Linked DNA regions of Styela clava. The main gene of each other region encodes a partner of the protein of the gene in region 2 in a complex. Links are inferred from orthologs where the notes say so. Each region holds a gene or a part of one and is shown on either strand. Other genes may lie near its edges. The genes, in order: COP9 signalosome complex subunit 5-like and COP9 signalosome complex subunit 7b-like.

What was found.
Region 1: COP9 signalosome complex subunit 7b-like (region 2) and COP9 signalosome complex subunit 5-like share a complex: the UniProt entries of both Drosophila melanogaster proteins name them as parts of the CSN complex. The link is inferred for Styela clava from reciprocal best matches to the Drosophila melanogaster genes CSN7 and CSN5.

What each region holds. Positions count from the first base shown.
Region 1 is NC_135257.1:21,451,219-21,469,004, reverse strand, and holds the start of COP9 signalosome complex subunit 5-like, read left to right. Parts: upstream 1-8,431; 5' UTR 8,432-8,546; coding exon 8,547-8,584; intron 8,585-10,343; coding exon 10,344-10,428; intron 10,429-11,189; coding exon 11,190-11,357; intron 11,358-11,941; coding exon 11,942-12,091; intron 12,092-13,350; coding exon 13,351-13,429; intron 13,430-14,066; coding exon 14,067-14,182; intron 14,183-14,914; coding exon 14,915-14,997; intron 14,998-16,014; coding exon 16,015-16,129; intron 16,130-16,886; coding exon 16,887-17,038; intron 17,039-17,786. Other genes in the region: transmembrane protein 65-like, read left to right, coding at 656-723, 1,151-1,205, 3,709-3,751, 4,724-4,829, 5,670-5,756. UniProt on the Drosophila melanogaster protein: Probable protease subunit of the COP9 signalosome complex (CSN), a complex involved in various cellular and developmental processes.
Region 2 is NC_135257.1:10,601,532-10,618,076, forward strand, and holds COP9 signalosome complex subunit 7b-like, read left to right. Parts: upstream 1-9,804; 5' UTR 9,805-9,857; coding exon 9,858-10,736; 3' UTR 10,737-11,427; downstream 11,428-16,545. Other genes in the region: flap endonuclease GEN homolog 1-like, read right to left, coding at 105-221, 428-588; nonsense-mediated mRNA decay factor SMG5-like, read left to right, coding at 11,616-11,698, 12,240-12,332, 12,929-13,058, 13,689-13,852, 14,160-14,368, 15,275-15,440, 15,899-16,027, 16,276-16,367. UniProt on the Drosophila melanogaster protein: Component of the COP9 signalosome complex (CSN), a complex involved in various cellular and developmental processes.

The DNA.
Region 1 (17,786 bases), about 11 Mb from region 2:
GTCTTTGTAATTAGAGAGAAAATACAAAAACGGCCTATGGCTTTGAATAAAGAGATTCTGAACTAACAGGGCGATACTCATCTGTCATCAATAAGATTTCAAATTATGTTTTCCCACTGTTAATAAATTGAGCAATCACTGATTTCTATGATTCTCTAACTTTCACACGAAGCCACTATAACTTGACTATATTGCATTCAGAAATTAAAAATCCAAAATATCAAGGGTCGTTAGAATATTTGGATAAACCCTGTAAACCAGTAGGACATGGCGTCTATATTTTAATCAATAACACATAGAACAAAATTAGTCAAAATAGTTGGCTCTCCTGAAGTATGTGAACCAAGATGGCGGACACCGAAACGTAGTATGTGTGCCAGGTTAGGGTTAGGCTATAATTTCATTCCAATTTTCCTTATTTTAGTTCTATTACGAGTTCGGGGACTAGCCAGGTGACTCTCATAGTATATGTACATGAAATTATGGCCTAACCCTAACCTGGTACACATACTAGGTACCGGTGTCCGCCATCATAGTTCACATGCTACGGGAGTACAAAGTAGTTAGGGCCAACACCCTTATTATGAGACTATCATGTCATGTCCACTGCTAGATGAGTCACCCCAATAATCAGCCGTAAATTCTTGTGTTTCAGTTTTCGTTCACAACTGTATCCCGTTTATTGGTTTTGGATTTCTCGATAATGCAATCATGATACTGGCGGTAATTTATTTTGTTTTGTTGGTTCGAGGGGCCTAATTGAGCCAGTTTTGTCAAATATCTTTTTAATTAGTTCGTGTTCAGCAAAGATATTGTGAATTCATAGATATTTGATTTGAAATAAACCTTGAGATTATCAAATTTTCAAATGCAAAGTTCCAAGATTTCAAATGCTTGAAAGCTATTTTTCCTGTTGGCAATAAGTAATTTTATTGTTTGAACAAAAATAATTCATCAGAAAAAATCATACGGCGCTGAATTACTAGAAACATCTTTTAGTCAGTTAATTGTTGATCTATTCAGACCAATTAATTCTGTTAAAACCGCCTTAATCCAGTTACGACCATTCTCACTTTAGTTCACTCCCATGAGACACTTTTTTGTTAAAATAATTGGATTCTTCACTGAATTAACTTTCTTTGTTTTCCAGGGGGAATACATTGACCTGACTATTGGCGTTACCTTAGGGATTTCTACAATGGCAGGTGGGGATGGATGATTTATAATTATTGTAAAGTGGATCCATAATGTGTCCAAAAAATCTCAGATGAGAAATTTTCTGTGCCTGGCAAAATACTTTCTTACTTTCCCCTCCACATTAAGATCTTTTCTTATGATTTCATTATTTCAAGTTGTGTGTGAGTGTGTGTGTGTAACCTCGCTTCGAAAAAACATGCTTTTATATTATTGTGGTTAGATAAAATGCCTGCTTCACTATCACAAGACACAGAACAGAAATCCATAAAATACACTGGTGTGAAACTGTGGAATGCCTTACCAAGTAGCCTACCATTAAATCTTTAGGCTATTACGGTTTTAAATTATATCTAAAAAGTAAATATATTAGTTATTATCTCTCTTCCATCAGCCATTGATTGGAGTATTCAGTATGATTCGCCATCTTCTGTCCATAGCCCAGTAGTCGCATTTGTAGACTGTCGCCATGGCTGCCCAAAAAGCCGGAGGAACTATAGGTGTAAGGAGTCTATTTCTAAAGTACCCGGTACTTTAACTTTACCAACCTTGGTGCAACCTCTACACTAAAATGCCCAAATTCGTTATATTTCAATTTCTTGAGCAAGCATATGCCTACCATTCTTTCGTAAATTTTATGCCCACTTGCTGTGGAGCGTATTGTATATAAATATATATACATATCAACGTTTTATGATTTATTAAAGCTTACCAACTTCTATTCAATTAATCACTTACAATTTTGTCTTTGGTGTAACCATTTTCCCCTCGCTTGTCGTTTGTCTTTTATGTAACTTATATACATTTATCCAAATATGCCTTTTTTATAAATTTATACTTGAGTTGTTTTTCTTTTTTTTTCTCTATTATATGATTTTAGTAAAGTTGCGTTTGCTGCGAATTTTTTCAATGATTCGTTTATCATAACGACTATTGCATAGTCAATGTTTGTAGCAAATGTAGTTATTTTTTTACACTGAACCAGTAACAGCGCTTTAGGTGTCGCTGCTTGAAGACCTAACAAGGTCCCTCGCGACTGTCGCACAAATAACATTATTATTATATTTATTTATTGTACCAATTTTTTGTGCATTTGATGTTTTTGTGACGACGAATAAATGATTGATTGATTGACAAGACAAACTAATAATTTTTAATATCTTATCAAGTATTATTGACAATATAATATTGGATATGTAGCCTACTCCCTAAAACCTCTGCACAGAATTCTTCTGGTTCCAAGATTTGTGTTAACATATATTGGATCAAACCAAGCTTGTTTTCCTGTGTAAATTCGCTCAAATTATTTTCACAAGCCTAGACAAAAATGTTGAGCAACACCATATGCAATGTGATATGCATTCAGTGGCATATCTAGGGCAGTCATGGCTCGTGCCACAGGTTTTTAGTTACCCCCGTAGTGTGTGCACCAGGTTAGGGTTAGATGTTCTGTTTGCTGTACTGCTTGTCCAGCTTCTGACAGATGTACGAGGTGGTGCACATGGGCATATCAAAGATTCCCAAACTTTTAAGCTTGCCACCCCTTCCAATATATTAAAATCTTCCACAACCCCTGATAATTCGGCATTGTTTTGCAAGCGTGCCACCTATCTGGTCCCATGTATTCTCTCGAAATCGTGAGATCTATGTTTTGCATTGGTTTTTATAATTATGCTTTGAATCAAAAGTCTAAAAGGTACAATAGACATAGTACTTTTGGTGAAATTGATGCTCTTTGCGATCCCTAAAATTCGTTGTTCACCTCACTGCAAGGTTGCAACTCCCAGTTTGGGAAGCCCTGACGAACATCAAAAAGAAAATTCATTTAAGTCAATTTATATTAAAGGAACAACTAGTTACCGGTAACTAATCACAAAATTGATGGCAACTGGATGAGAGTCTGTGGTCAGGTTCACACTATGAAAAAGCTGTTTTTATCAACTTTCCTCGTTTCCAGGATAAATGGCAAAATACCCCTCCACATTAAGATCTTTCATTATGATTTTATTATTTCAAGTTGTGTGATTTCTCTAACGAACTTAGTTTTAATGATCAACCATTTTCTTATTGATTGATTTGCCAATATATATTCAAATGATTGATGTCTATGGTTATCACTTATCATAAAGTAGATAATTATTGTTTTGATTGATTTTCCATTTTCACAGCTTTGTTGAATAATGTTTGATTTTTGTCTGGCCATCAGATGCTAAGTGCCCAATATGAATATATTTTCAAACAAAAGTATTCAAGTTTTGTTCTATATAAAACTAATATTTTACATCAAATATACCCGCTTTGGAATATTTTATGTTTTGGACACCCTGCTTTAAAAGAACAAACAAGAACAAAATGACAAGAATAATCAGGCATATAGTTCCGCCAAATTTATTTTTTTCAGCGGGTATATTATTTTGACAAACCCTTTTAAAATCTAATTGATTAGTCTAACGAACAAATTTTCATAGTTTCTGCTTGGTTAACCAAGTGTAAAATTTTGACAATTTTTTCCAGCTGCTGCGCTTGGAAACACTATATCAGACATTGCTGGGATCGGGTAAGAGCTTTATGTTGAAGAAATAAAATTTTGGAGCGACAAGTTCTTTGGCAATGATACTCTTTGCTCCAAAACAGAGGTTTTGAGGGCCACAATGCTAGGTGCAAAGCTGATTTTACTTATGCAAGATTCAATTTTTTGTCATTTATTTACTGGTCTTCTTTTTTCCTTAGTGGATGCATATAGCTGTTGTGATTGTCCAAAACTCTGCTAAGAGATGGGTCCTCTGTATTTCTGTGTGTGAGTGTATGTAGCGAAAAATTTTTAAAAACATGGTTCCATATTATTGTGACCAATATCACAAGACAAACTAATAAATCTCAATATCTTATCAAGTATTATTGACAATATAATATTGAACATATACTCTCTAAAACCTCTGCACAGAATTCTTCTGGTTCCAAGATTTGTATTAACATATATTGGATCAAACCAAGCTTGTTTTCCTGTGAAAATTCGCTCAAATTATTTTCACAAGTCTTGACAAAAATGGTGAGTAACACCATATGCAATGTGATATGCATTCAGTAGCATATCTAGGGCAGTCATGGCTTGTGCCACAGGTTTTTAGTTACCCCCGTAGTGTGTGAACTAGGTTAGGGTCAGGCAATAATTGTATAACGATTTTCCTTGTTTTAGTTCTATTACGAGTTGAGGGAATATCTGTGTTAGCCAAATGAATATACCCCCTGCTCATAGGTTTCAGTCCCTTTACACAACTTGACATAAAGTAGGCGAACTAAATTAATTACCTCCATATTGGTGCATACACTTCTGAAGCGCAGATTTTTATGCTCCATTGGTTACTTGCAACCCTCCCTCTATCAGTAATTTTTCAAATATTGCTGGAACGGTCGACCTCTTGCACTGAGCCAACCTGTATGAATAATGTGGCCTCTGCACAGGTTTATTATTGTGCGAGAAATATTAGTTAATACAGGGATAAACACGAAGCTTTTCTCTTTACTCTAGATTGGCTGGATATGTTGAAAGCCTCTTCTATAAACTTGGGTTGCCAGTACCTGCCTTAACACCGGAACAAGCAGAGCAGAATTCAACTATTTTTTCATCTAATGCGGTAAGTTTCTGTTTTTTTAGAATTAGTGTGAGTGGGTTCCGGATTTAAACATTTCACCCACCTGGGGCTGGGCATTTTTGAATACCTGAGGATTTCAGAATCACATAAATTTTTCAAAATGGAAAATGGAAATATTCGACTGTATGTGACTTTTTATTGTGATGGGCACATAATTTACTGAAAACTTTCATAGTTTCAGACAGTTTTAGAAACATGTTTCATTAATAACTCACTAAAGATAAAGGAGTCGGTAAAAGAGTAAAAATATGGCTTCAATAAAAAAAATTGAGGAATTCACCTCGACCTGTGTTGGTTTAAAAACAAGATGACGGCAATTTGAAATTCTTGCCTGGAGCAGTTGTTTTTAGAGCATTTTATAAATTTAATGATAGCAACTTCATCAAGATCAAATCTAAGGTTCTCTTCGCTACTATAACTATCAGTAGAAGTTACACAAGACTAACTTCCGACTAACCGACTCTTCCTCAACGCCCCTGCCCTAGTGGATCCCTATGCGTATATTGCAAGGATGCTGTAGCAGGAATAAACATGGCCATGCTATGCAATTCAAGAGTCCAGCTGCACATAAACACAAACGTATTTCTGTAACGTTTCGTTTGACCAAAATCAGACTTCTTCAGACAAGCAGTTTACACAGACGAAACCTTACAGAAATACATTCATGTTTGTGTGCAACAGGAATCTTGAATTGCTTGGTCTCTTCACTGGTATTGTTATTTATTTTAGTGACTGGGAAAAGTAAACCTGACTTCGACTTTACTATTTGGCCCTTTGGAATTGTTTTACTACATTATTACATAATAAGTTCTTCAATTTCAGGGCAAAGCATTTGGAATTTTGATCGGTTGTATAGTTGGAATGTTCCCACTGTTATTCATCGCTAAAGAAGAAAAGGAAGATGGATGACATCTTGAATAATTTTTCGAGTTTTATCAAAGCATTTGGCTTGAAATACAGTTACTTTTGAGCTGCTTGACTCGCGCCATTATTATTTTATTTGTTTCAGTAGCTCAGACCATTTCAGTCTGTAGAACTGTATGGTGATACAGACAAGCAATAAAAAGGCCTAATAATATTTAACATTATATCTGTATTGCATTCTATTGACTGGGATAAGTTTATGCTTTCTCATGCTTTAAATTTTTAACTTTTCGAGCTGCTTCTCCATTGCACCTGAGAAAGTATATTTAAATCTTTTTTTCTGTAATTGCCATATTTCTTCATTTAGAAATATTTTTGTTGTTTCCTTATTTTAACCAACATTTTTTTTTTTAAATCTTGTGTTAGTTTTTCAGTCATATAGTGTTCCTTTAGTTTTAAATGTATTCAGCTTTATTGCGATTTTCAGATATTTACATATTTATCCCGACTTATACATATTTAACCGACCAGCGGGTATGTGAACCACCCTACGGCGACGAGGAGTCTAGCAATCCTTTTGCACATAACCATCATCGCTTGGGATTCGAACATGCGGACCCACGCAGAGAAATCAGATCAAATGCTTAGCACAAGGAGCCACACTGCCGAGCCTGATTATACCGCTGGACGATAAATCGAAAAAAATATGCCTGAGATTCTAAATCAGTGTTTCACAAACTTTTTTTTATAAATTCCTCTCAAATTTTGGATCGATATATTCTCCCTCACAATGCTGAGGAACTCCATTTTCGTTCTATTCTAGAAATCTGTATTTGTAACTTTACTTTGAATCATATGTTGCTGCTGTTTTTAGTTGGTATTTTCTGTTGAATTTTGTTCATTTTATATATTTGAATAGTTAACAATATATATACATGTTGAATTTTTATAAGCTAGTGCTGTATTTTGTGAAAGTATGTACAAAGGTATGTACACAGTGTTATGAATAGCAAAGAAGGCGGCCTCGTTTGGGGCCTTGGGGGTGTTTTACGCATGTGCTCCAAACAAAGCTTGTAGACAGGCAGGTAATGAGCAAATAGACTAGGTTCTTTTCATGTAGTTTGGGTAACAATCCAACCTAATTTAAAGTCATTTTACCTTGGTGTTTCAGAATAGCAATATAACAAGAACGATTATGTAGGCGAGCACATTCTAAAAATTGAGCCAAAACATGTTGCTGCAGGGACGAGCACGGAAATATAGTACAGCAATATGAAAACTGATGGTTCGCATATACGATCTTCCTCACTAAATGTGTGTTTGTTTTTCTCAAAATGTAACGGCTTCATATAAATTTTACAAGAGAGATATGCTCAAATATACAGACACGTAGCGCCACATAATTTTGATGACGTCATGGCAAAAAATAAAAGTAATAGCCTTTTGGGGAAAATTCCATTTTCAACCACTGAAAATTTCAGAGCAATTGGTCCAGTAATCAAATAGAAAAGCGATTTCTCCGAAACGATACAAAGAACAACAATAACAAAACGATCGTTATGTCCATTTCGTGTCCAATAATTACAGAGACGAATGCAATGTAAATAAAAACCGCATGGTACGCTGTCACATGCAAACTTGAAGAAACGTAATTTTTCTCTCCGTTCTAGTTGCACGGCAAGTATATGGATAGGTCAGATATGTGACTTGATACGATTACGTACCAATGAAATTCGATCCGTGGCAGATTAGCCCAAGAGAAAGAGATATATTGCGACAAAAACGAAGTCAACACTATTATTATAAACAAAATACAATGTAGAAAATATTTCAGCAGTAATAACAGTGATTGATTCAAACCATCAAGTCCATGCTTCCGAAAACAAACAAGAGAGCTATGCTCAAATATATGGACACGTAGCGCCACCCAATGGCAATAACTTTGATGACGTCATAGCGAAAAAGTAATAGCCTTCTGGAGAAAAATTTTATCTTCAACAACTGAAAATTTCAAAGCAGTTGGTCCAGTATTCGAAGAGAAAAGCGACTTTTTGAAAACGTGTCAAAGAACAAGAACAACAACAACAACATAATATTGAAACGATCGTTATGTCCACTACGTGTCCAATAACTGGCCAACTAATCCCTTACCCGACCTGGAATGGTAACCGGACGAGAGGCCGTGGTTCGCCATATGATTAAGCCGTCTTATCGGCTTTCCTCTCCCCTGGGATAAATATGTAAATCCTATCATATTGTTTTGCGTGGGCCCAATTAAAGTGATCTGGGCTCCCGACCATTGTGATTTGTGTATGTATGCCCATATGCCTTGGACGAATTACCAGTTGAACCGTTTGAAGACGAGTTTGTCAAACGATTGGGCTTTTTTTTTGCCAAATTATGTTTCATTGCCAATGTGGAATTTTTCTATTGGGCTCTCTGGCCGGCGCTATCCTCTTTGGAGGTAAATTATTATAAAAATTAAATGTAAGGATGCGGGGTCAGTAATTTTAATATGACCTATGATCTTTGAACTCTTTGGCCTGTGAAATACATGTCACATAATCAGATGATACCATGTAAATATTAATCATATTTCATGTACACAAAGAATAAATTTCATTTTTGAAATAAAAATCATCTTACAACTTAAATACTTCATTATTGAAAACGTGGAAAAAAAGATTATTGATATTGTTATTCTTTATCAAACCTCGCACAACCAGCCCTTCTTTATTGTATCTGGCAACAGCAAAACCTCTGCATTTGGTAATCTTGTACTGGATCGACGAAGTCGTGTTTGCAAACGTAATTTGTATAAGTAATTCGACCACAATGTCGGACGAAAAACCTGGAACGTCATCAGAAGGGGGGTACGATTGCTTCTATTATCTTATTTATAAATGGATCTTCATTTTACATGCTTACTTGTGGAAATAACTGTAAAAGATGACTAATATTAGGTCTCTTTTGCGATGTGTTTTACCCGTTTTTCGTCCCATGTTGCATTTCGTCTTTGATTTTGCGTTCCAGATTGCTAAAATTTTCCATGATACGTATTGTGCTAAGCTTTGACTTGCAAGGAGAGATATTTTGACTTCAAAAATAGCAGAATAAGTCTTTGGTCATTAAGTTGTCATTACTCTGACGTACTACGGTTCAATGGTCCTTAGTTAGGAAGCAACTGAGCGAATATCATCCTTGACAGTGTCGAATTGTTTTTTGTCAACTTCCTGACATCCTTGTCTCAAGATTAAGCCCATGTACTGATATAGGGTGTGTTATAAAAGTCTGGTATTTAATTAGGTAAAAGGACTTTGATGTGCTTCATACAACTAATAATGGTGGACATATAAGGGTTTATAAATGAAGTGAAAGGAGCTTAAGTAAACACCGATTAAAATAAAACAATTCTGGTTGAGATATATTAACAACTGACTCATACGATCATAAGAATTGTTATAATAGTACTTCACCATCACCATGTTTGTACAGTAGGGGACAGTTTTCGGGTCTCCTGAAGTACACACCGCAAGTACTTCTAGCTGGCATGGCTCAACAATTTTTGCATATGTCATTCTTAACCCCCACCTGACTAGGTCATCCGAAAATTACATTGCAGTGACGTAATACGGCTCGACAAAGTATACGAATGGTCGCGCAGACAATCATCCGAAATCGAGTTTGGCTATTTCTCTCGTTTTCTTATCAAAACGATACCAATAAGAGAGAGATCGCTGACGTTAGTGACTGTTAGTTCATTATAGTCGGCACAGATGCCATTTCGGACGATTGTAGCTACTTTAGCAAGCTCTATGACGTGATTGTGACGGCGCAGTGATGTAATTTTTGGGTGCCATACTCAGGTTGGGGTTAGGAATATTATACTAATAAAATCGTTATGCTACGCCCACTAGATGTACTTGAGGGCGCGTACTTTAGGAGACTCCAGTTTTCCGAATCCAAGATGTCCCGACATTAAGTTCAATAAAACAAACTCAATTGCCCTTGAAACGAGGGCGTCTGGCATGACGGCAGATGCGTCAGATCGTGTCATGCTTGTCTCAATAGTAATCTAAATCAATCATGATATGTGTGGTGTGTCGGCCGTCACATAGCCAAAATTCCCGTTTTCTGCTGGGAACTCTTGTATGCTGCGATAAAATTTGTTTCCTCTTGTAAATTGGATAATTTTATTTTCAAGGAATCCAATGATGTCGTTTTCAGATTGCGCTCTCTTTTTGTTGCACAGTGCTAATTTTTGCCAGTATGGAGGCCCTGACTGTCTCATAAATCAGGTGTTTGCAATCACTGTTATGATTTATGTTTTTTAAGTAGGGGCTATTCTTGGAATCAGTGAACTGTGCTAAATCAATATATATTTACACCAAGTTCATTCATTCAAAACTAATAATCTGGTTTACTATTCCCTTATCTGGCATAGACTGGTAGCATGTCAAGGGCCCATGTTCTGCCATATCATTAAAGCGTTCTTTCCGTCTTTCCTCCCCTGGAGATGAATTTGAAAACTTCATCTTTTAACATGTTAGTGGTGACTTGCAACTGTTCTATCGCTATTCTCCTGACTTTTAGCTCTGAACAAATTCGTTGATAAATAAATTCTTGTCCTAGAGCTGCATCTACAAAGACAGACCAGCCTTTAAATTCGGGTTCTGCGATGGCTTTGAAGACTTGGGAAATGCAAAACAATATGGAAGTGAGCGCTTTTTTTTAATTACTATTAGAATAGGATAGGGGTAGAAAAAGTATAACACGACTTAACTATATGGCGAACCACGGTACTTCACTAATGGCAAATTTGTTATGAGTTATTTTAAAAATATTTTGTTGAATTGGTTAGTGCAAACTGGTTTATTTCTTCAAAATCATTGTTTTGCCACCAACTTTTTAACAGCTGTGCTGAAAGTACTGTAAGCTAAATTTAAATGCTTGTTCTATATATTCTATCCCTGCAAAAACAAGCCAATGTTATTAATCAGTATTCAGTGACAAGATATCTAAGAGATTGTCTAAATTTCAGTTTTGATGTTGCTGTTGACATCTTGCGAATGAAGCAATGTTTTTTTTGATATATTTGAATACCTCCACTCTGGACGGGGTTCTGCACAAACAGTCGGTTATGTGTGAAAAACTACCATCATTTGGAACGACCGAAACCGTTCTCTGGCAGCTTTGTGTACCAATTTATTAACCCCCTGGGTGAGGTGATGGGCCGAGATTAAAGTTTAAAGATTTGGATTCCTGAATATGGACATTTACAATTTTCATATTTTTCTGTATTGAAATATTGCCTTCGCTCTATACAAACAGCCAGAGATATGTGAAGAGCTACCATTATTTGGAAGAGCCGAAATCTTTGTTTCAGCTTGAATCAAGATTTTAATCTGCGAAGCTGTTCTAACACTTTAACTATGCCACCAGAGCTGGCGACACTAACTAATTCAAAAACATTTTTAGATTGTTCACTCAGTCGACGAAATCTACAAATACGAGCTGAAACAGCAACAAGAAATGTTAAATGCAAAACCATGGACAAAGGATCCGCATTATTTTAAAACCAGTAAAATATCTGCACTGGCTTTACTGAAGATGGTCATGCATGCCAGGTCAGGCAAGAATTTGGAGGTAAGTCTACATTTGCTGTTCTTGTGGCTTCAATGACCAAGATGACAGGTTGAATTCAGATTTGGACACAGATTCTGGAGCAATGTTAAGTTAGACTATAAGTCATATGTGTATTCGACACGTTTAAATTCAAATATACGGTACTTAAGTTCATTGTATTACTGACAGGGAATTAATCTCAATTCATGCAAAATTATTACTTGGACAACAAACCATAGAGATACCAATAGGTATTGTAAAACACAAAAGTTATATCCCTTCTAAAGGACACTTCCATCCAAAGGCAAAGCCAAGAATTTTCACAGGGGGGGGGGGGGGGGTTATGAAAATTCATCATTGTCAAATTAAACCAGCTAGCGGGAAACGTGGGGTTCCAAGAGTCTTTTTTTTAAAAATGGGGGGTTTCGACCCTCAACCCCCCTGGCTACTCGCCCATGATTACATCCTTTGTCACTGACGATTTGAAGGTCGAATGTTCTATTAGTTGACGACAAAAGCACTTTTTCGTCTTGACAACAGCAAATAGAATACCATCGATAAGAACAGTTCATGCACCCATCTCATGTCTTTTTTACACTATTTAGGTTATGGGTCTGATGCTCGGAAAGATAGATGGCCCAAACATGCTCGTGATGGATTGTTTTGCACTTCCTGTTGAGGGCACAGAGACACGGGTCAACGCACAAGCCGCTGCATACGAATACATGACAGCCTATGTTGATAATGCTAAACAGGTTTGTAACTGTGCTAAACCTGCTATATTAGATTGAAAATTTGTGATCATGGTCAAAGTCAGCGTTTTTCAAGAGCTTTTTTCACCACCCACTTGGCATTGCCAAATTTCTTTGCGACTTACGAGAAGGAACTAAAATAAAAAAAAAGTAAAATATAGGACCTCCTGAGGTATGTGCACCAAGATGGCGCACAACCTGAACTCTGGTTGTGTACCAGGTTAGGGTTCAGGTTATGCGACATCTTGCTGCACATACTTCAGTAGTACCAAAATTTAATATTACACAAAATTTAAAAAAAATACTGAACTTGACAAATTGTTAATGAGACTGATGTGTCAGCATATTCTTGCACAAAAGATTGAATCCCCGCTCAATTTCCGCGATGGTGGGTCTGTAACAAATTAACCAATAATTTTGGATGGATTATATCAATGCTAAATATAATTTCTGACGTCATAAAATATTATAAATTCTAGAGAGTTCTAGCAAAAGAATTCGACCTAAATATTGCACGCAAGTGAATAATTCTCATGTGATATGATGAATCACCCCTATTGTACATGGATTTTGCTAGAGGTATCGAGCAAAGACTGTTTGAAGTGTGAAACCTTATAAATATGATCTCATCAGCTAACAGCTAACAACTAACCTTAAGAGATAGAAGTGTAATTTGTTTATGCTGATTATTGTAATACATTGTCGGAAGAAATAAAATTGTACAGGTAAACCTCTCTGATCCTTGGCTGTTATATCAAATTAACAGAGATCTCAAACTCAACTGAACACGTAACCTATACTATATTCTGTGTGGAGTCACATTTATATATTTGACTAGTCAATTAGTAGTCAGGAAACAAAATTACGCTTCAGGTCTTAGTACAAATTCCAAATCTTTCAAATTTGATCAATATTTTAACATAAGTTGTTGTCGAAAAGGCATTTACTCATTTTTAAACTAACCGTCATTAAGCGGTTGCGCCACTTTGAAGTATCGTATCGTGTTCGTAAGCAGACTTTTTAGTATTTTCCTCTCCGAGTTATGTTTTTGTGGTATTGACGTGGTATCGTACATATTCTACGACGTATCTCGCATGCATTACGTCTTGTGCCTCACTGGACATCTATGTTTAATACAATAAAATTATTCGACACTCCGTATTCTATAAAATATATACTTCACATTTTATTCATTCCCAAAAAAGATGAAAATTTGAAAACACCATTGATAATAATTGCAATCTTATTCTTTCTCTTTCCAGGTTGGCAGACTGGAGAACGTGATCGGTTGGTATCATAGCCATCCAGGTTATGGTTGCTGGCTCTCTGGTATTGATGTTGGTAAGTTTTATATGGTACCTATGGGTCGGTGTTGGAAGAAGTCCCCAATTAGTCGATTGTGTTAATGACTTATATACTAGGAGTGCTTCATTTTTCATTTAGTATAGAATTACTGTTTTTCTCGTTAAATACTCTGGAGGCCCAATCCTGCCTGCTTGTGCCTGCTGAAATTTCGACTATAGTTTTTATGGATATAAATTTTCGTCGAAAATATTGATGAAAAGAAGGGGATCCCGAAGTATGCGAACCAAGATGGCGTACATCGGAATGTAATATGTGTACTAGGTTAGGGTTAGGCCATAATTTTAAGTATAAATACTACGGGAGGCTCTTGGCTAGTCTTCGATCTGATAATAGGACTAAAATAAGGAAAATTGGAAAAAAAATATCGCCTAACCCTAACCTGTTACCCATGTTACGTTCCAATGTCCGCCATCTTGGTTCGCATACTTCGGGAGCATCGAAAAGAATGTCATAATGACCCCAATTGTTACATCATGCTCTTATAAAAAAAACCTCCCACTCAGTAACCCATTCTAATATCTGAAATTGGCTCAGGAAGAGTAATTATCCCCCCAAAGGTCTATTAGTATCAGTTTTCCAAGAAATAATCTCTAATCTCAAATTTTTTTTTCAGATACCCAGATGTTGAATCAGCAATTCCAAGAACCATTTGTGGCGATAGTGATTGATCCAACACGGACTATCAGTGCTGGGAAAGTTAATATTGGAGCGTTCAGGACATACCCCAAGGTAAAGATATGATTTAAATTGTTTGGGCCATTTTTAATATGTTTCCTTAGAAGACGAGATCAAAACGTGAGATGTGTTAATATTGTCAACATAGGCGTTTATATTGGTATCTGCTTAAAAAGCATTGGTATATATAGCTGTTCAATATCGTCTGTTCTTAACCATCACGCCTAACCCTCCCATTTGAAGTGAAAAAATACCACTACCGAGATGTTGAATCAGCAATTCGAAGATCCGTTTGTAGCGATAGTAATTGACCCAACATGGACTATCAGTGCTGGGAAAGTTAATATTGGAGCGTTCAGGACATACCCTAAGGTAGAGCTATGATGTTCATGCTGGTTATGAATTAGACTCGGAAGACTAGAGCGTCGAAACGAGAAATGTATCAATATTGTCAATATAGGTGTTTATAAAGGTATCTGCTAAAAAACATTGGTATATTTAGCTGTTCAATATTGTCTGTTCTGAACTGCCACCGCACATTTAAAGTGAAAAAATCCCTTTTTCCCATTTTTGAAATGTAAAAAAAAAGCATTCTTCTGTATCTCACATAGCGATTTATTTGTAGCTTGAAATGTTTTTTTAAACCCAAGACTTTTTTAAAAACTCACATGCTAGCTGTCACGGTCCAACTGGGCAATTAGAAATTTTAGAACGTGGCCCTTTAACTAAGCCCATGGATGTTGCTACCATTCCCTATGGCCAAGCTGATTCACACTTTTGTTTCAGGGTTACAAACCACCAGATGAAGGCCCTGATGAATATCAAACAATTCCTCTCAGTAAGATTGAAGATTTTGGAGTTCATTGCAGGTGATGCCATTTGTGTATTGTTTCCTCAGAACAAGGCTAGTTGAGTGTTGAAAATGTGGGTCGAGATTTGAATTCTAGTCGAGTTAACACATATTCAGGCCTCATTCAATATTATTTTTTTGTACTTATCACATAGATTTACATATTTAATCAGGGGAAAGTAAAGCCGATAAGACGGATTAATCATATGGCGAACCATGACCTCTCATCTGGTTACCAGTACAGGTTGGGTATGGGATTAGTTGGTCAGTTATTTGTTTCATGGACTTTGTCCGATGTTGGAGGAAGCCATAACCGACCAGTGGTTACGTGAACCACCCTGCTGCGGCGAGCAGTACAGCAATCCTCTGGCACATATTTAACTCCGCACAGGATTCGACCCTGTGAACCCACGATGCACCGCCAAGCCACATCTACTGTTTTTACTGATTGAAGCTCAGTACAAAATTATGTCAGGATTTTCTGCAATCGAGGAGACAGACGTACATGTCCCTAGTGTGCCCCTAGAATCTAACAATGTTTCTGTCACAGAGTTTAATAAACAGCGTGGATTATGATAAATCAAGTAGCTAACAACTATTGTGAGGAGCTGACTTTGATGGCCGTATGGTCGTATCGCTCCCCCCCTGTCTATATCAAAAAACTTTGCGTATGTTTTTTTTTATTATTGTTACAATGTTCGTTTTTCCAGTTGACAAAAAATAAATCTCTCTCTCGTCTAAAAATAGTAGGTGGATAATTATCAGTGGTTCTCGAGTCTTTTTTGAGGCTTAGGTGTTGAAAAAACACAAAACGCAATATCTATTCATTGGTAGACCTGTCTATCTGAAAGTCTGGTTTGAAGTAAAAAGCGTTTCAGCCCAAGTTATACCCTTTTTAAAGGACACTCACATCTTTAGTGATGATTTGAAAGCCGCTGTTTTATTGTTTAACGACAAAAGCATCTTTTGTCCTGACATCAGCGAATAGGGTATTACCAATGTTCAACTAATAAATGTATAACCTTTTGCATTCCAGGCAATACTACTCTCTCGAGATCACATATTTCAAATCGTCATTGGATAAAAGATTGCTGGAAAGTTTGTGGAATAAATACTGGGTTTCTACGCTGAGCAGCTCAAGTTTGATTACAGTGAGTTATTTTTTTTTTAGATGAATATCATACCCAAAGACATAGTCAGAAATTTTCAAATAGGGGTTTTGAAATTTCTAATTAACCAGTTAGGTCGTAACAGCTAGCGATGGCTTGGTGAAGTCTTAAGAAGTGTTTTGAGCTATGAAAAATTGTTTTACATTTGAAAAGGGGGTTACAACCCTCAAACCCCCTCTCCCCCCTGGTTACACCCCACCCAGAGTGTAAAAATTCCGTTCTTTCAAGCTATAGTATTATACAATGTCTCTAAAAAGTTCCGCTCGATTGATTTTATAGTAATTACAATTGTTAGTTTAAATAAATTTTATTGTATGATAAATGAGAACTACAAGCACAATAACAACTATTAATATACAAAGAAATTTTTAATTGTTATTGAAATCATTTTAACACTGTTACATCATGCGCACTTGCACAGAAGTAAACTATATTGAGTACAGCCATAGAGATATCCAATTCTTTTTTTGTCATTTCATTTAATTTTTCATATTTTTGCATGGAGCGCCTTGTGTTTCAATGAATTTATTTCATGTCAATTGTCAACATCAAAAATCCACCTTGAAGAAAAAATTTTTTTGTAAGTTCTCGAATACTAGTTCATTTCGAGCCCTTTATTTAGATTTATTTTCCAAAGTATAGGGAATACATTTCAGGCTGCTTGTGAAGAGCCTAGTTTGGAGTGAGTTTTTGAATAATGGAAATTTATTTCATTTTGAGCTCTTTATTTCCTTCACAGAACAGGGAATACATGACTGGGCAAATATTTGATTTATCTGAGAAGTTGGAACAAGCGGAAACGCAGTTGTCACGCTCCAGTAGTTCTATTTACTCTTTTGATACGCATGACCGAAGAACAGAAGATAAACTTGCAAAAGCTGCAAAGGACAGGTAATACAGAATGTTCTATAAAATTTATTGCAATTTCATGGGTTGCTAGAACCGAATTATCTGTTATTTCTGGTGCACTCTAAAATGTTGGTGTTTGTCATTTCGAAGCGGCCTTTTTGAAGTTCTTTCATGGTTTTTGCAGGATTTTGGACGGTTTTCGCATGTTTGAGCAAGGTTTTTCACTGATTTGCACTTTTGAGCGAGGTTTTTTGTTGTTTTCAAATTTGAAAATGCTGGCAGTTACGATATATAGTGATTTTTGATTGGATAAGTTTTTCAAATGTAACTATCCTAAAGTAAAAATTCCCTGAACTCAAGAATTTGAAACAGGGATGTGCAACATTCTTCGTCGGTGGGCCACACAACCAACTTCAGACAACTGGCCGGGCCACACAAAAAATTTAGCGGGAAGGCAAGAGAAGAGAAGGCGACCTCGCATAGCCTTGCAGAAATTAATACATTGGCCAATCAACGAATTTTTAAACGCAGTGACAAGAACAACAAAAAAAAAACATTGTATTTTTATTCATGCTAGCACCTTTTAAACCAGGGGTGGCCAACCTTTCACATACCATGCGCCACGTTTTAAACATAATGTTTCAGATGCGCCGTAAATCTCTTGTATTCCCACGCCTAATGTCCGCTTCTTGTGTCCACTCATTTAGAGAATTACGGAATCACTGAATTAAACACTGAATGAATAAATTACAATGACAGCCGCATATATATAGTTAACTCAACGAAAATT
Region 2 (16,545 bases):
ACATAGCATCAATGAGTGCTTGTTCGAAGCTTGTTTAATGAGAAGGCTATGTATTAACTAGTAAATATATCATCGCAAATGTGACTCACTGTCAAAGACTATACCTTGTTCCAAGTCTCTTTGATATTGTTTCCCTTTTCAACTCTGGAGCTTTACCATCCAAAACAAATACAAGATTTATATCAAGTCTCAGGATACTGCTCACACGAAAAAATAGGTTTCTGCAAAAAATTGCTAATTTTATTGGATATCATGCTACAGTGCTAACGAATGTGATACAAACCATGGGGTGTCCTTTAAAAGGTTTATTTGTTTGAGATACAAATTGCACCAATAAAACAGTAATTTATTACTGCATGAAGAATTGTCAACAGAAAATGAATATAGCCTAGGCAATTACTTCGCAATATTCATAGCATTAACTCACCTCAGGTATGGTCGTGTTACATAGCTATGCATTTGCTTTACTCCTTCCGATTCACAAATCCAAGTTGCAAGATCTACTGCTAATGTTTGTCCCTTTATTTGCTCCAGAGTAACATCTTGCTTAACGTCTCTCAAAACTTCCCATAGTTTGGTCACTCCCATTGCAGCATTGCAATAAAACTAAAACGCCAGAACGGTTACCGGTATTGGACTGAACCTATAGCTGTATAGACTACAAATATCTGAAATATATTACAGTGTATATTACTTCAGTTTTTCTGTCATTTAAAATGGATTAGGCCTATATTATTGCAGGATAATACAATGAGCTAACAATTGCATATCTTTATATGGTATTCGTGACCACAATTTGTGCGTTTGCTTTGGTTTGCACGGACAAAACCAAGTGCAGTTTCAAGTATTTTGTGGAGTCTCGAGCTCCCGCAAAACCATGGCGGGATTTCCAAACCATGGCCGCTATGACCAAACCCACGGCGACTAACTTTTTAGCTGCTACAGTAATGCTGGTAATCAAGTTATTCGTATTCCAATATACAATTTTGTAACTTTTCGTACATGCAAGATGCAAATACAAGCATATGCACATGATCACGGTTGTTAATGCCTACCGGTAAAGTATTACAAATCATTCAATCAAATCGTTTTTATTATCCGTTCAGGAAAAGCAGATAAAGAGATGCGTCTGGTCGTCTTAAATCCATTTTGGAGCTGGACCTGTACATTGTATTCCTACGTTGTACCGTAAATATATACTACTACGGTTGTACTACACCATATTACTCTGATATTCTCAGCAATTATTCAACCAATGTATTTCAAATTTTCAGTTATTGAGAAAAGAAAGAAGTCGCTAGAAAACAATTAATTTAATTTCGTTTGAAACCCGATAGTCGACCCAAGTTTGGTAACATGCAAAGTCGAAAGTATATTAAGTACAAGTATAAGTTTATTTCGACTCCATAATAAGCAATAGACGATAAAATAATAGATAAAAACAAAAATAAAAGTAACTGATAATAGAATCGGGAAAGCGAACAAAACCTCGAGTAAGGTTTGAAACGTACAGATTTTAGATGGAAAGGTATTGATGAAATAAGTAGTACGTGTTAAGTATAAGTATAAGTTTATTTCGACTCCATAATCAGCAAAACAATAAAATGAATGCTAAAAATAAATAAATAAAAACTGATTATGAAATCAGGAGAGCGAACAAAACCTTAGATAAGGTTTAAAACGTACAGAATGTATATAAGATGGAAGGTTTTGCCAAGAAGATGTGGTACGTGTTCACTCACCTAAAATAATTGAAATATTTCACACACGCTCACACGCACCCACACACACAACCATATAGAAGTTATTAAGTAAAGGGAACATGAAAAATTACATACTGGTAGTTAATAAAAAATAAATAAATAAAAATTACTTGCCACACCATATTAATAAATTTATCATGATTGCCACTGCCAAATTGATCAATTTTATAAATGGGAGTGAACAGTAAAGATAAACTTTTATAAAAAAATATATTGTCAAGCTGATTATAGATGGAGTCAAATGCCAAAATGCCCAACCAAAGTTGCCAGAATTGGGTGCATGAAGAGGTGGGCTAGACCACTTCATTGCCCAAACTAGAGCCTATTATTGCCAAATTGTAGTCCAGATTGCAATAAGTATTTAAATCTATCAGTAACTTTATAAGTATGAGTAATTATAATTAATTAAGGTAGAAAGACAGGGTATAGGAATATGTTGGTTGCTAAGGTTATAAGGTTTTTTTTTTCATTCTTAGATATTGACTTCTGCAAGGATAAAGGAATTAGGAATAAAGGAATTAGTATTGTTATTTCACAGGATCATTTCTTCATTTAATTATTATGGCGTAATAGGTTCAAGTTTATCGTGGATGAGACATCAGCCTGCGAATTTTGTTGTTGTAGACACCATTTATATTCAATAAACTAGCCATTGTATTGATCATCACAGAACGACCTGAAAAACAGAAAACAAATCTGCGAGTAGGATATTCAAGGGTTACATATTTGGAAACAGCACTACCCTACACTTTTGTTTAGAATTAATTATTATTTCGAGTAGATATTGATTATTAGTTATCTATCTATAAAACGCTAGTTCAAAGACCAGAGTTGAAATATGGTTGGGACACAGGGTGAATTCCTCGCAAACCATGCAGAAACTCTCAAACCACACTGACCATTCGTATGTTGGCCTTCACATCAACTTCACAGCAGAACCTCAACCTAGGATAAAATTTTGTATACACACAAAACAAATCATAGAATACCACAACAAATTAAAATGAAGGGGAGAATCCAATATATCTCCACTGGTCGCCTAATTACAATAATAGGTACAGGAGCTAAACTATACGGTCTACAACCCTCATAAGGTATCACACCACCCATATAGAAACAAAGATCATGCATGTGTAATGTCAAAAATCCAACGTTAAGCAAAAAGGGAACATGCGCATGCAGATGTCAGAGTGTAAACAGCCATTTGAAAAATAAATAATTTGCTGTGCATGCTACAGAACCCGACACACCAACAATAGATGTAGAACAGGTGGAGAGAGATTAACTGCCGGCTCAACAACAATCAGCAGCTGCAGGAGCAATAGCAATATTGTAGCTGTTTAATATTTTCATGAAAATAAGTATGTGCAAGTGAAGAGTGTCCCAACTTTCTATCATGGTCATTCATGAAGGTTCAATATTTTTTGTGTCCGAGCTATCAAAACGTTGTAGCTAATTTCATACGAAAGAGTATATATATCAGTGTGGTTATGGGAAAATAACTTTTAATATTTGGATACCAAGTACGACTTAACTTGTTTCTGAAATGATTTTTTGGATTTTAATGACTTCAAATTCAAGGGGAGAGAGTTCCATAGCTTAGGTCCATTATAGCATAGGGCATGCTGGCTCACAGATTTACTCATAAACGGTATAAATAAATTGGAATTACTTCTTCGATTGGAGGTGGTTTTGGTTAGTATGTCGTCAAAGCAGTTTGACAATGAGTTGTCATGAAAATCATAAACTAATGATAATACTTCAAATTTCATTATGTCTTCAACCTTGAGTATATTTAGCGATTTATAGAAATGATTTACGCTTTCACGTTTACTTTTCCTAAAGACAATTCTTAAAAAATTATTACAAATGCTTTGCAATTTCGAGACAAGTGTTTTATTACCATGGAGCCAGACTGAGCTACAATATCGGATATGACTTAGTAGTAGAGATTGAAACATTGCTAGTAAAGCTGATTGATTAACGCACTGGGATACTTTAGCAGCAACTGCCAAGTTCCTTTTTGTTTTACCAATAACATGCAACATTTGTGATTTCCATGATAGATTTTCATCAAAGATAACTCCTAGAAATTTTATTTCTTTCACTCTTTCAATTTCATTGTCATTGAGCAGTAGTGGTTTTGAACAACTCACACTTTTATGCTTGCTTGGGTGGAATAATACAAATTTAGTTTTGTTAGCATTAAGAGATAATTTGTTAACCAACATCCAGCTATGAATGTTGGTTAGTTCTTGGTTTGCAACTGTGAGTAGATCTTCAAGGTTTTTCCCATGAAGAATCAAGTCAGTGTCATCAGCAAACATGATCGACTCAGAGGATTTCAGACACCTGGACATGTCATTAATGTAAGCTAGAAAAAATAATGGGCCAAGTAAAGATCCTTGTGGAACTCCGTGCTTCATGACACAAATATTTGTAGAGAATGAGTTGTCATATTGCACAATTTGTTTCCTGTCTTGCAGGTAGCTCCTGATCCAATTGAATGGGACGCCTCTAATTCCATAGTGATAGAGCTTACTTAAAAGGATGGAATGGTCAATGGTGTCGAAAGCTTTTGAAATATCAAGAAATATTCCAATTGCATGTTGTTTGCTTTCAAAGGCCTTGGTCAGTTTGTGTACCAAAACATTAGCAGCCATAGCAGTGGAGTGATGCTTGCGGAAACCAAATTGATGAGAGTGGAAAACATTGTTAGTTTCAAAGAAGTTTGACATTCTACTATACATTATTTTCTCAAGAATCTTAGAAAATGATGGTAAAAGACTAATAGGTCTATAATTTCCAAGATCTGAAACACTACCCTTTTTAAATAGAGGAAGAACTTTAGATGTCTTGAAGCTTTCAATGAATAACCCACTAGATAGTGAAAGATTAAATATATATGTCAGGATGTCAATGATATGTTCTGGAACGTGTTTCAATACTTTGAATGGAATACCATCAATTCCAAAACTTGACTTGGGCTTCATTTCGCGTATAATATTTTTTATTTCTAATGATGTAGTTGGCCTTAAAAACATGGATGAGGATTCTTGCTTTCCAAGATATGAAATGTAATTTTTGTCACAGCCAGCTGGTTGTGGCATACAGTCGAGCAGGGTTTGTGCCACTTGGGAAAAGTGTTCATTAAATTTATTTGCAATTTGTGTATTACTGCAATCGAGTCCAATCAAAGGACAAGAACCTGTTTTATTTTTACCAATAAGTTCATTAATTGTTTTCCATACTGCCTTGATGTTACCTTTGTGAGAGGCAAATTTAGATTTGTAATAATTTGATTTCTTTTTGTAGAGCAATCGAGTATAAAGGTTCCTGCATTCATTGAACTGTAATTTGTGCTTGTCATTTATGTTTTTATTGTTTATTAATTTCTTATAAAGTTTTTGTTTGACTTTGTTTAGTTTACGTAACTCAGTATCATACCAAGGTTTGTTTGATCTGTTTGTTTGTTTTTTGTAAGGAAAAGATTGAGAGTAAGCAGTAGAGAATTTTTCAAAAAATTTTTCAAAGCAAGTGTTGGGATCCTGGATGCTGCTGAAGTCATCAATATCAATAGAATTCAGTTCGTTCATAAAAGTATTCAAGTTGGACGAAGTAAACTGGCGGTAAAGCGTTTCAATTCTGTTCTGAATTTGCTTTTCTAGAAGAGAGCATTGTACAATTGGCAGATGATCAGAAACACATTCTGCTAAAACAGCACTATTAACTTTTTTATCATATACGTTTGTCCAAATGTGGTCTATACAGGTAGCAGAACTTGAAGTTATCCTGGTGGGGCAGTTTATCAGAGAATAATAGGCCAGGTTGTGCATAATATCAACAAATAGGCTGGTATTCATATTGGACTCATCAATAAGATTATAGTTGAAGTCACCCATTATATAATTATAATTCAACTTGTTCATCTTTGAGAGAACTTGGGACAAGAGATTCCGAAAGTTAGCATTGTTCAATTCATCAGTTAGTGGTGATCTATAAATAGTACCGCAGGTTATTGTTTTATTTTCCAATAATATGTCAATAAATATAGATTCGAAAACCTTTTCACACATTATAGTAATATCCTTGCGGACAATGTATTTCAAATCATTTCGAATGTAGAGACCAACACCACCACCTCGGTGATGAAATCTACTGTTAGTGATAAAAACATAGCCATCCAATGTATTGAAATGGCCATTTGTACCAGATACAATCCATGTTTCATTTACAGCAATTACATGCGGCTTACAATTCAGTGAATTCACTAGTGCTTCAAATTTTGTGTAGTTTTTGAAAGAGGCTAAAGATCTGATATTGAGTGAAAGAGTCATGAAACCACTTAGTTTAAAACTATCATTGAATTTGAGATCATTGACATCACTAGAGCAAATATACTGATTTGAGCTGTTGTACATGAAAACACTGTTTATGTTGTTGAATTCATCATTGTCAGTATTGGCTGACTCAAGAAACATTTGGTTTAGGTATTCAGGATCAAGAATTTTAGTAAGTGCCTGGGCTTCAGCTTTTTCTGAATGAAGGGAAGTACATGATTCTAATAATTCAGAATCAGAGAGAGAAGAGAATGGTATGCAATCTTTTTCACAAAAGAAACAGCACCAAGGCAGATCATCAGCTTCAGATTGCAGGTTTTCATACTGCTGGTTAGAGATATTGGTGCATTTTAAATGTATCCAATGTGAGCAAATGTTGCAAAGAATAGCTTTCTGATTAGTTCGGACTGATTTGTGGCAATTTCTACAGGGATATTTTAAATTATGTTTCATGGTGGTGGCAAAGTAATGAAATAAAAAAATAAAAAAAGTATAGTGAAGTAAGACAAAATCTAAAATACAAAGCTTGAATACAAAGTTTCCAGGTGCAGAACTTATGGTTAAATAAGTACTAGCCTAATTAGCATAAGGAAAATAAGGGTGAAAATAAATTGAGTTAAATTAAATTATATTATCAACCCTGTGCTAAAGGCCACCACTATACCAATGAGACCAAGTTGCAAACAGTGTGCCTATTTGCTAGGTCCCATTGGGCGAGCAGCAGCCCTGGAGTACAGGGGACGAGAGAGAGTAGTGATATCATTCAAACAAGATATAACTCGCCTTCTGTCCAAGTAAGCGTATATAGTCCCATTCATTGTCGACACCTTATGCTTCCCGAATGCTTCCTTGGCAGCGGCGAGGAGCTTGAGCCTATTCCGGGTCAAGGACTCCGTGATGGACAAACCGCTGCCTTTTAGATCTTTCTTCCTACCATATATTAAATTTTTTGTCGATCTTCGGACAAATTTAATAATGATGGGGTTCTTCGGGGACTTGGATCGCAATTTATGGGTTATATCAATATCCGTGTTAACAATAGGCTGGTCAAGATTGAAGTTATTGTTCAGGGTGTTAACAACAAAGTCTTCAAACTTGTAGTACTCAGATTCTGGAACAGATTTGCAGCCATGAAGAACAACACAGTTCCTCCGGCTGTACTGTTCCTGATCATCTTGCTGTTTTTCACATAACTCCAGTCTTTTTATAATCTCCTCGATCTTAAGAGAGATTTGAGCCACATCATGCTGGAACTTCTTAACAGCTTCAGACTTGCTGCCATGGTCTTCAGTGGCAGACAGCTCATCTGAGCGTTGCATGAGCGCTTTTTGGTTGGCCTGGAGGGATGTAACAGCAGCCAGAATCTGGTTATGAACTTCGGTATTCATATTGATTTTCCGTGGAGTTTCGAGTTGAACAGGTAATTATTTCAGCAGAATCCAATGTAGTATTATGATCAGAAAGGTATATTCCGTTTGTTGATATAATCGAAGGTAGCAGGCTTTAGTACTTAAGTTAACCAAAGATTAAACTATCATCTGCAAACTTAATCAAATAGCGAATAATCGCTCACCCTAAGTAGAGTCTAAGAACAATGATGAAAGAGTTGCAAGTGATCATTGACAAGCTAAAAGGCTCATAACGTACAGGGCATTAGAAACAGGGAGGTCGCATTAGGAATGAAGCGTTACCAGCATTGAGAGCGCGTTATCAGCTCAGTATGTGCAATACGTGGTCGCGATCATTGAGCTCAATGATTCTTCGCCGTCTTGTGGCGTCGACAGCGCCATCTTATTATAATTTAACAATCGGAGATTCGCCAAGCCTTACAGCAAAAGAAATTGTAAAATACACGATACCTATATTTTTGTGTGGATATTTCATATTTATTTTTCTTTGCAATTGTATACCGATACCTGGATATCTTTATGTATCTTAGTTACTTAAAGAAAATAAATGGCAGATACGGAAACATGGATAAAAATGTGATGGAAACGTGATTAAAAAATACAGAAATATACAACTGGCAGAATGCAAAAATGGAAGATTTTCAAGTGAATTATACACGCAAGCATGAAGTTAAGTTCAAACAAAATTAAGCTTGTACTAATCTTTTTATAAACAGGACTGGTTGTGCATAATTTCAACTACACTGTTGTATAATATTTGCAAGTGCAGTTTCAAGTATTTTGTGGCGTCTACAGCTGCCGCAAAACCATGGCGGGATTTCCAAACCACGGCCACTAAGACCAAACCCACGGCGACTGACTTTTTAGCTGCCACAAACCAATAGCGAGCTGCCGTGGTTACGGCAGCAAATCGAATACCACCAATTTTACTGCCGTAACCACGGCAGGTCGGCTGTAATAGCAGGGCTGCCCCTAATCTGCTGATGGTGATAAATATTTGGTGAGTTGGAATGTTTTTCTTATGGATACAGTTTGGATGTATTTGGGGTTAGGGTTAGAGTTTAAGTAGATATAATTTCGCATGATAAACTAAAATATGGTACATGAATTTGTAAATATACCGGTAATAGCGCCATAAAACCATGGCAGGAGACGGCGTGGTACGTTCGTGGCAGGAGCTGCCATGAAGTGGTAAGAACTGCGCCTCAATATTTGAGAACTCACAATCGTTCTTACAGTTTTGTAGCTGTGTCTGTGTGGACGTTTTACTAAAACCTTCGGTCGATATTACAGATAGCTGGATAGTACAATCAGATGATAATCACTGCATAGCCTATATTTTTGATGTGACATGCATTCATACTTTATTCTAGAAATTTTCTCGATTCTTGATTTACATTTATTCGGGAATTTTTTTCAATATTTGTTCACATGCCACCTCGATTATCACACACAGCAGCTACTCAGTTCACAGTTTAATTTTAAAATGAATCGCATGTAATGGGATTACAAAATGAAATGTCTGAGTAAAGACCACCATCAATATTTATGTTAATCTGTTAAGGTTTGTGATTTTTTTTTTTCTTTGGTGGTTGAAATTGTTTGATATGTTTTAAACTTAATATTAGATTATGTTTGTATGTGCACTTCCCAGGTCCTCTGCCCTCATCTTCTGGATTTTGGTATTTTGTGAATAAATTGAAATAAAATCTTTCTATCAATCATTTACCCAAAATTGGAATTGAAATACAAATAATTCAAATTCGCTTGTGTATAGAAAAAAATTAAAAAAAAATAAATAATGAATTCCACTGTAATTCAATTAGAACAATAGTTAGAATTAATTGTAATCTGTGCCTAGATTCTAAATTTCTGAAATTGGAGTGCCAATTCTGGAAATGAATTTCATGTTTCATTATTTATTTGTAGGAGAGGAAAATCCATTAGACACCTAATCTTATCAAAAACCAGGCAGCAAGCGAGAGAAAACTTTGTAAATAATGACATAGCTCTGTATAGCTACATTTATTATCTGTATGTATATGATTGGAAATTATAGATATGAGCATTTAAGGATAGTATTCACACCAGAGTTTGAAATCATCATGGTTGACCAGTCTGTTGACATAAATTAAAACACCATACTAACACAGGCTGATAAATAATGAATATTTAACCTACATGGGAAAGGAAATATTATTTTAATAAGGCAATAGAAAAACATTCAAAATAAAGAGAAATATAGGGAAAGGCAACGCACTAAAAATATCTTATTATTTCGGTTTTTCTAGCTTATTTATATCTGTAATGATCTAGTCTTCATTGGTTTTGATTGTTCCAGTAAGATGTCTGAAATGGTTCTGAAGAAGGAGTTCGTCACTGGAAATTCCACCAAAGTTACTGCTGGGACGTTCAACACAAATCAACAGTTGGAGCAGTTCTTGATTCTTGCTAAAACTGCCAAAGGTTCAGCTTTGAAAGAATTGATTAAGCAAGCAATGGAAGCAAGAGATGTTTATTTCTTTGGTGAATTACTTGAAATCCCTGCAATTCAGGCTTTGGAGCAAGATCCAACAGCGCAGACATACTTTTCACTGCTTAAAATTTTTGCATATGGCATATTTAAAGACTATCTGGCTGATAAAGATACATTACCAGAATTAACACCTATGATGACAGATAAATTAAGGCATTTGACTGTCGCAACATTGGCTACAAAATTCAAATATCTTCCTTATTCGACTCTTCTTGAAGAACTAGCTATGTCGAATACAAGACAGCTTGAAGATTTACTGATTTCTGCAATCTACTCCAACGTAATTCGTGGCAAACTTGATCAACAGAATTCTCGTCTTGAAGTTGACTGGACAATTGGACGTGATATTCGACCAGCTGATTTGGATAATATAACAATGACATTGGAATCATGGTGCAATGCGTGTGGTACTATGTTACAAGGAATTCAGACTCAAGTAAAATCTTCAAATATATTTTTAGAAGAAGATCAAAAAAGAAAACAACAGATTGAACAAGAAGTAACAAATATAAGAAAAACTATCAAAGCTGCATCAGGACAGCAAGAAATGGAACTTACTTCGAGTGACAAAAATTTGTCATCCCACCCAATGCCATCTGCAGGGGTTGAAAACAAACCTAAAAAGTCTAAGGTCAAAGGACTCAGGGGTAGTCAAGCGGTTAATAAGCTATGGTCATCGAAAAACTGACATGATATTTTTTCATTACTAAATTCTATGTTTCAATCAAATGATAGCATTTTAATGGTTTCAATGTAATTTATTCCGTTTAATATAAGTTCAAAGTTTAGGAAAGCGCCAGCTGTATTATATTTCAAATCACAATATTTGTTGAAACTATCACAGTTTAAACAATGTTTTTTGCACAAATGCTAAAGCTTTACAACTGAAGCTGAATTAGTCAAAAAATGGTTATCATTACCAATTATCAAAATTTTATATGAAATCATTAGTTAGAATTGCCAAGTATTCACTCGATGTATATCAATATAAAACGTTGTGGTAAGTATCCCCTCATCTATATTGCAGTATAAATGTATTTCGGGATTTGCAACAGACTATATATTAATTCATTAGACTCAAAAATGATGTTTATATCAAATATTATTTTGAAATTTTAACATAAAACACAAGTTCTTCGGCCAGACTAATTAATTTACTGGGAAAATTAGTAATTTTGAATATTTTGACAGATTTTCATGTTTCAATTAGCTAGTATGTTGAATTGGCACTACCAATTGTTTGTCAGTTATTCGATATATATGTTTCAGTTCCAGAGTGTTTTTTTGAGCTTCAAGTATTTTGGTCAGAGTGTTTCTGTGTTAACTGGTGATAATATGTTAAATGCATTTTCTGTTTTCTTTTATTTTTTACATAGAAATATTGTTGTTATACAATAAACGAGAGAAATATAGTGAACAAAAATTAATATTGCTAGCATGCGTGAAGTGGAGAGAATATCAACAACAATGAAGCAAAACAATTTTTAACATTTACTGACAAGATTTGTTGAGATCAAACAAACAGAATGGAGTGAAATAACTGTGAAGAGGCAGATATAAAAACAGGATGTCACGACATTCAACAGATACTAGAACATCTTCAAAAACTGTTACAGATATTAAGAATATACCAGCCAGGAGACTTTACAGGTAAAATACTAGAAATATTATCATATTAGTTTTAACTAGTTTGGAAATGTAATTATTTACTCAACTAGTGTTTCATTCATATTCAATGTTTCTTTTTTCTGAGACGTTTCTAACAATAAATTTTATTTTGTTGTCGTTGTTACCTGTCTGTGATCTTTGTTCCCTAAGCATTCACTGAAATTCATAAATTACACCAAGTTGTCTTGCTATTTGGGTTTTCTAATGTCATCCCTTTTAAACATTATTGTTTTAATAAATATACTTGGTCAATTAATCATAAGTATGCCAATTTCATCAGTTTCTATTATGTACTGTTTGCTCGACTTACTGAGTTGTATGCCAAAGAGTGTCAACTACATTTTAAGGCAGCGTTATAACATTTTAGTGATTTATTAATGTAAATAACTGAGATGCTGTGCGATTTTATTTATTGTTATATTTTATATCCTGGATAATTTACAGTTGTGCTGGCCTTGTTATATTGACATGTGTTTTCTATATACATTGAGTGGTTTAACCATTATTATTATTTTTTATTCAGAGGTGTTTTGGAGTATGCACGCAGGTTAGAAAATGGTCGACAACACAGGAGGAATTTAATGAGTGTTTTTCAGTCGGAGCAAGTTGGCTTAAGGTAATGGATACAAATCAAATTTTTTATTTCACCAGAATATGTTTCTCTTCTAATGTTTACTGTGTACACCAACAACCAACATTGAAGCTCTATATTGTCTTAAGTAAATCATTAATGCCTATGAATGTGTATCGGAATCCTTTTTAAAATGCAATGCAATACTATGCAGTATTCAAGTCTATCATCACACACATAATAGGTTTTTGTCAATCAATTATCTCAGAAGGTGTCTCAGTCTTATGTTATAGCTCCTTAGCCAAGTTTATCAACTCTAAAGTTATTTGCCAAATAATTATTCAACAAAGCTTTATCATGTCATATATTGTAAAGAGAAGCACTGCAGTGACATAATCTCCACCAATAGGTCAATGTAGTTCATAAGGATCGGCAAGAGGGAAAAATGTCAGATTGCTATTCACTTGGTGACAAATACAATTTGTTTTGAAAAGAAGAAAATTTTGTGCAGTCAAATATATTTTCCCATTCAAGAAATTGCAGGAAATGTATATAACAGTATTTGAAATACCCACTCTTGAGATGCCGTATTTTTGTTACACATTCTCGTTTAACTGTTTACTCAATTTATTCAATCCTAGACATAAACTCCGAGATGCATGTGAAAAACTCATGTTCTCACATCCCATAGAATATGGCCGAAAAGCCGAAGAGTTGATTTGGAGAAAAGTATATTATGAGGTTATTCAACTTGTCAAAAGCAATAAGAAGGTAAGCTTTATTAATGTTTACGTTGACACTGGTATAGAATTTAGATAATTTGACAACCAGATTTTAAATTTAAGTAGAGTCTAGCATCTGGATATTTGTCTTTCATTACTGAGAAAAAATACTTTGGTAATTTTCTTTAGGCTTGTTGAAAATTCTTGCATCAAATTTTCAAAAAATTTAACCAAGCTTAGACTTACAGTACCGGTACTTAGACAAGCCGTATAGAGCAATCACAGCCTTGTGTGAAATATCTCAGTATTATTAATTTTGATGTTTTAGCTCTATTATGTTCTTTTATATGCGAGAAAGATTGCTACAATATAAATTAAGTTTGTTAGTCGCTTTGTTACTGTGTAATCTTATGCCAAATTTATAACAAGGCCAGCAGTAATAGTGTGATGGGTACTTTTTGCAGTAAAGTGTCAAATTACGCATCCACGCTCTTTTATGCAAATTTAGTCACGAGATAGTATGATTCTTAGCTATCAATTGAGGGTTGCAACTTGCAAGCAACAAAATGGCATTCTGTCTATTATTTTTTTAACTATTTTTTTTTTATTAATTATGTTGTTCAAGCTTTTTTGTCACAAATCAGTGAAATCGACATCGACTCATATAACATATTTTCAGTTCATGAAATCTGGTAGTAGATTGGAACTTTTATATAAAGAGTACTTGTCAGCAGCAATTGGATATTATCATCATCTATTACTAAAACTACAAGCAAAGTATCAACCGCATATTGCCGTCGATTGGCCATTTGCAAGCAGTCCTCTGAGTGATAAATATAAAAGGTTTGTATGGTAAATAAGTTACGGTGATAATAAATGAAAGCAGTTCTTAGAACTTGGTCAAATAAAAATCATTTACGAACACAATGCACATACCTTCAAACATAAAAAATGGTAGTGTAAGGCAAGGAAAAAAAAGTGTTCAAGATTTTCTGTTTGATGGGGATGCAATAACATTTCTTTTCCAATATGGCCTGGTTCTCTTTGTTCATTCGAATTTGAAGTTGATTTAAATCTGAATTACCCATAATTATGAACACTATCATATAATAAAGTTAATATTTAACTCCAAATTCATTCTTGTTTGCAGAAGGAGGGAAGTCACCATTTTATCAGCAAAACAAGTCAATGAACCATCAACGGACAAAGATGTTTCAAAAATAAAAAAAGTAAAATCTCATACTATTCTGAGCAAAAAATCAAAAAATGCTGATAGAGATGCTCCAGAAAAAGTTATGACAATTGATGAATGGGCCCAGGAAACATCGTACCGAATCCTCCTATGTCTTGGTGATCTAGGTTGGTTTTTTCTTCTCTTTGATGAATGAGTTTTGGATTTCTGTATTGATCTGTTTGCAACTAAAAGTGAATCAGAATTGTTTTGTTGTTTTGGTATTTTTATATACTATAAAGTAAATATGTCTCCTAGCCATGCCCGTAGCAATCCAAGCTGACTCCTTATCTGTTACATCTATGTAAAATTCAATTTGAGTGTTGATTTAATGTTTTGTGCTTGAAATATAGTTGAAGTGTGTTTTATTTCACATCTTTGTAACTTTTTATAACCTACAGTAATTCTTTGGGTGCGATTGCCTGGTAGTTAAAAGCTTTGAGCTTGGCTATGTTGGCATCTCCGGTTAAAAATATGTGCTTCAAATTCCTTGCCCATCACCTCACCCAAGGTCAAATAAATTGAGAAGGTCATAAGTTTTCAAAGTGCTCCATAATGGAGCCTCAGGGATCTGTGGGATAAACCTAGGGGGTAGGGGCTCCGTGAGATATTTGTTTATTTATTAAAATACTGACTTGGCAATTTCGTAACTATCCAAAGAAGCAATAAATACATCCGCATCATTAAATAAAGTAATTTTAATCTACTCAGGAACATCAATGGTAAAAATCAATGTGTTATAAATTTATTGTGGGGCTTCGGAGATATTAGTCAACAGCACAGGCACATGCTCCATAACACCAAAAGTTCGAAAACCCCTGGAGTAGGTAATGCCGAACAGGATAGATGGAAGATGACGTCTTGTGAGCAGTGACTTTTGTGTGTGTAGAGCCTTGTGCATATGGAAGACCTAAAAAAATGGGAATTTATATCAATTCGAGGGAGCTTAATTTTAAATTATTCTATGTGACTGATAGTAGAAAAACAAACATTTTTCTGCTCTTCAGTAGTTTAAGAATTTCTCTTTTTAATAGGTCGATATCTAGTGGAGCACGGAGGTTCAAGATCTTTTGCTGAAAGATTTTATCAGCTCGCACTGCTGGTGAAACCAAATATTGGTATGCCATTCAACCAACTCGGCACATTGGCTGGTCATCATACATGGTGGGGATTGACTGCAGCCTACTATTATTACAGATGGTATGTTAGACTGGTTATAAACATTACAATTTGATTTTATCTATATGCAGTTATTTAGCATGGTCCTTCTATGTTTCTTTATGTGCCTTGTATATATGAGTATTAAAAGAATATTTATGGAAAATTGATGATCAAGGTAGATAATTTTTACATTCTTCTACTTCTTGAATTAACCATGTAACTCAAGGCTTACACTTAGTTTTCGGTGATATCTTCGTAGTTGAGCGACTCAATAGTTGCACCTTATCAATTCAGTAATCAACCAAAAAATTTGAGTCAGAAATGCTGCTGTACTTGAACTAATATTCGAAGCTCGAACACCTGGGCAAAAAAGGTTTCGGTCCTCTAACAAATGGTAGTTGAACACCAATCCTGAACGAATTATGTTCGACTACCGAGGTATCATTGTATTACTGTTCCATTCATTCAATTCCACGCCTATATGACTTCATTTACAGTTTGGAAGCTGAAAATAGATTTGATGGTGCTGATGGAAATTTACAAAAACTTCTTGATCGTAACAAGAAAAATTTCTATCAAATACCAACTGATGCATTGGAAAACATGATCAGTTCTGAAGAATACAGGTTATTAGCACGGTTGCTTTATTTGACTTCTTACGAAAATCAATCCTGATGACCAGGCCTCTCTTTTGACATTAGTAAATTGTTACATCATAATAAACATTGAATATTATCAGAATATATGAATTTCGAATGAATATATGAATTAATGTATTAATTGAAAAGGAACATTACTCAAAATAATCACATATAGGATGCATTTTATTAATATAGCAAAGAATAATTTAGTCAACTTTAAAATTGTATTTCAGAAAAGAGCACACCAGAATTTTCATCATATCGTTTTTATATTTGTGTGATTTGTTACGACCAAAAACCTATGCAACTGATGTCGAAATTACAGGTATGATTTTTTAAACCAAGAAAATTCTGCTGTTGCGTTTTTCTATGATGATTCTAAGATATTTTTTACATAAGAGTTTTATGAATGCTTCTATTAATTTATTGTCTAAAGCAGGGGTGTGCAACATTTTTTGTCAGTGGGACCAACTTCAGACATCTAGCCCACAGGCCGTTGCACA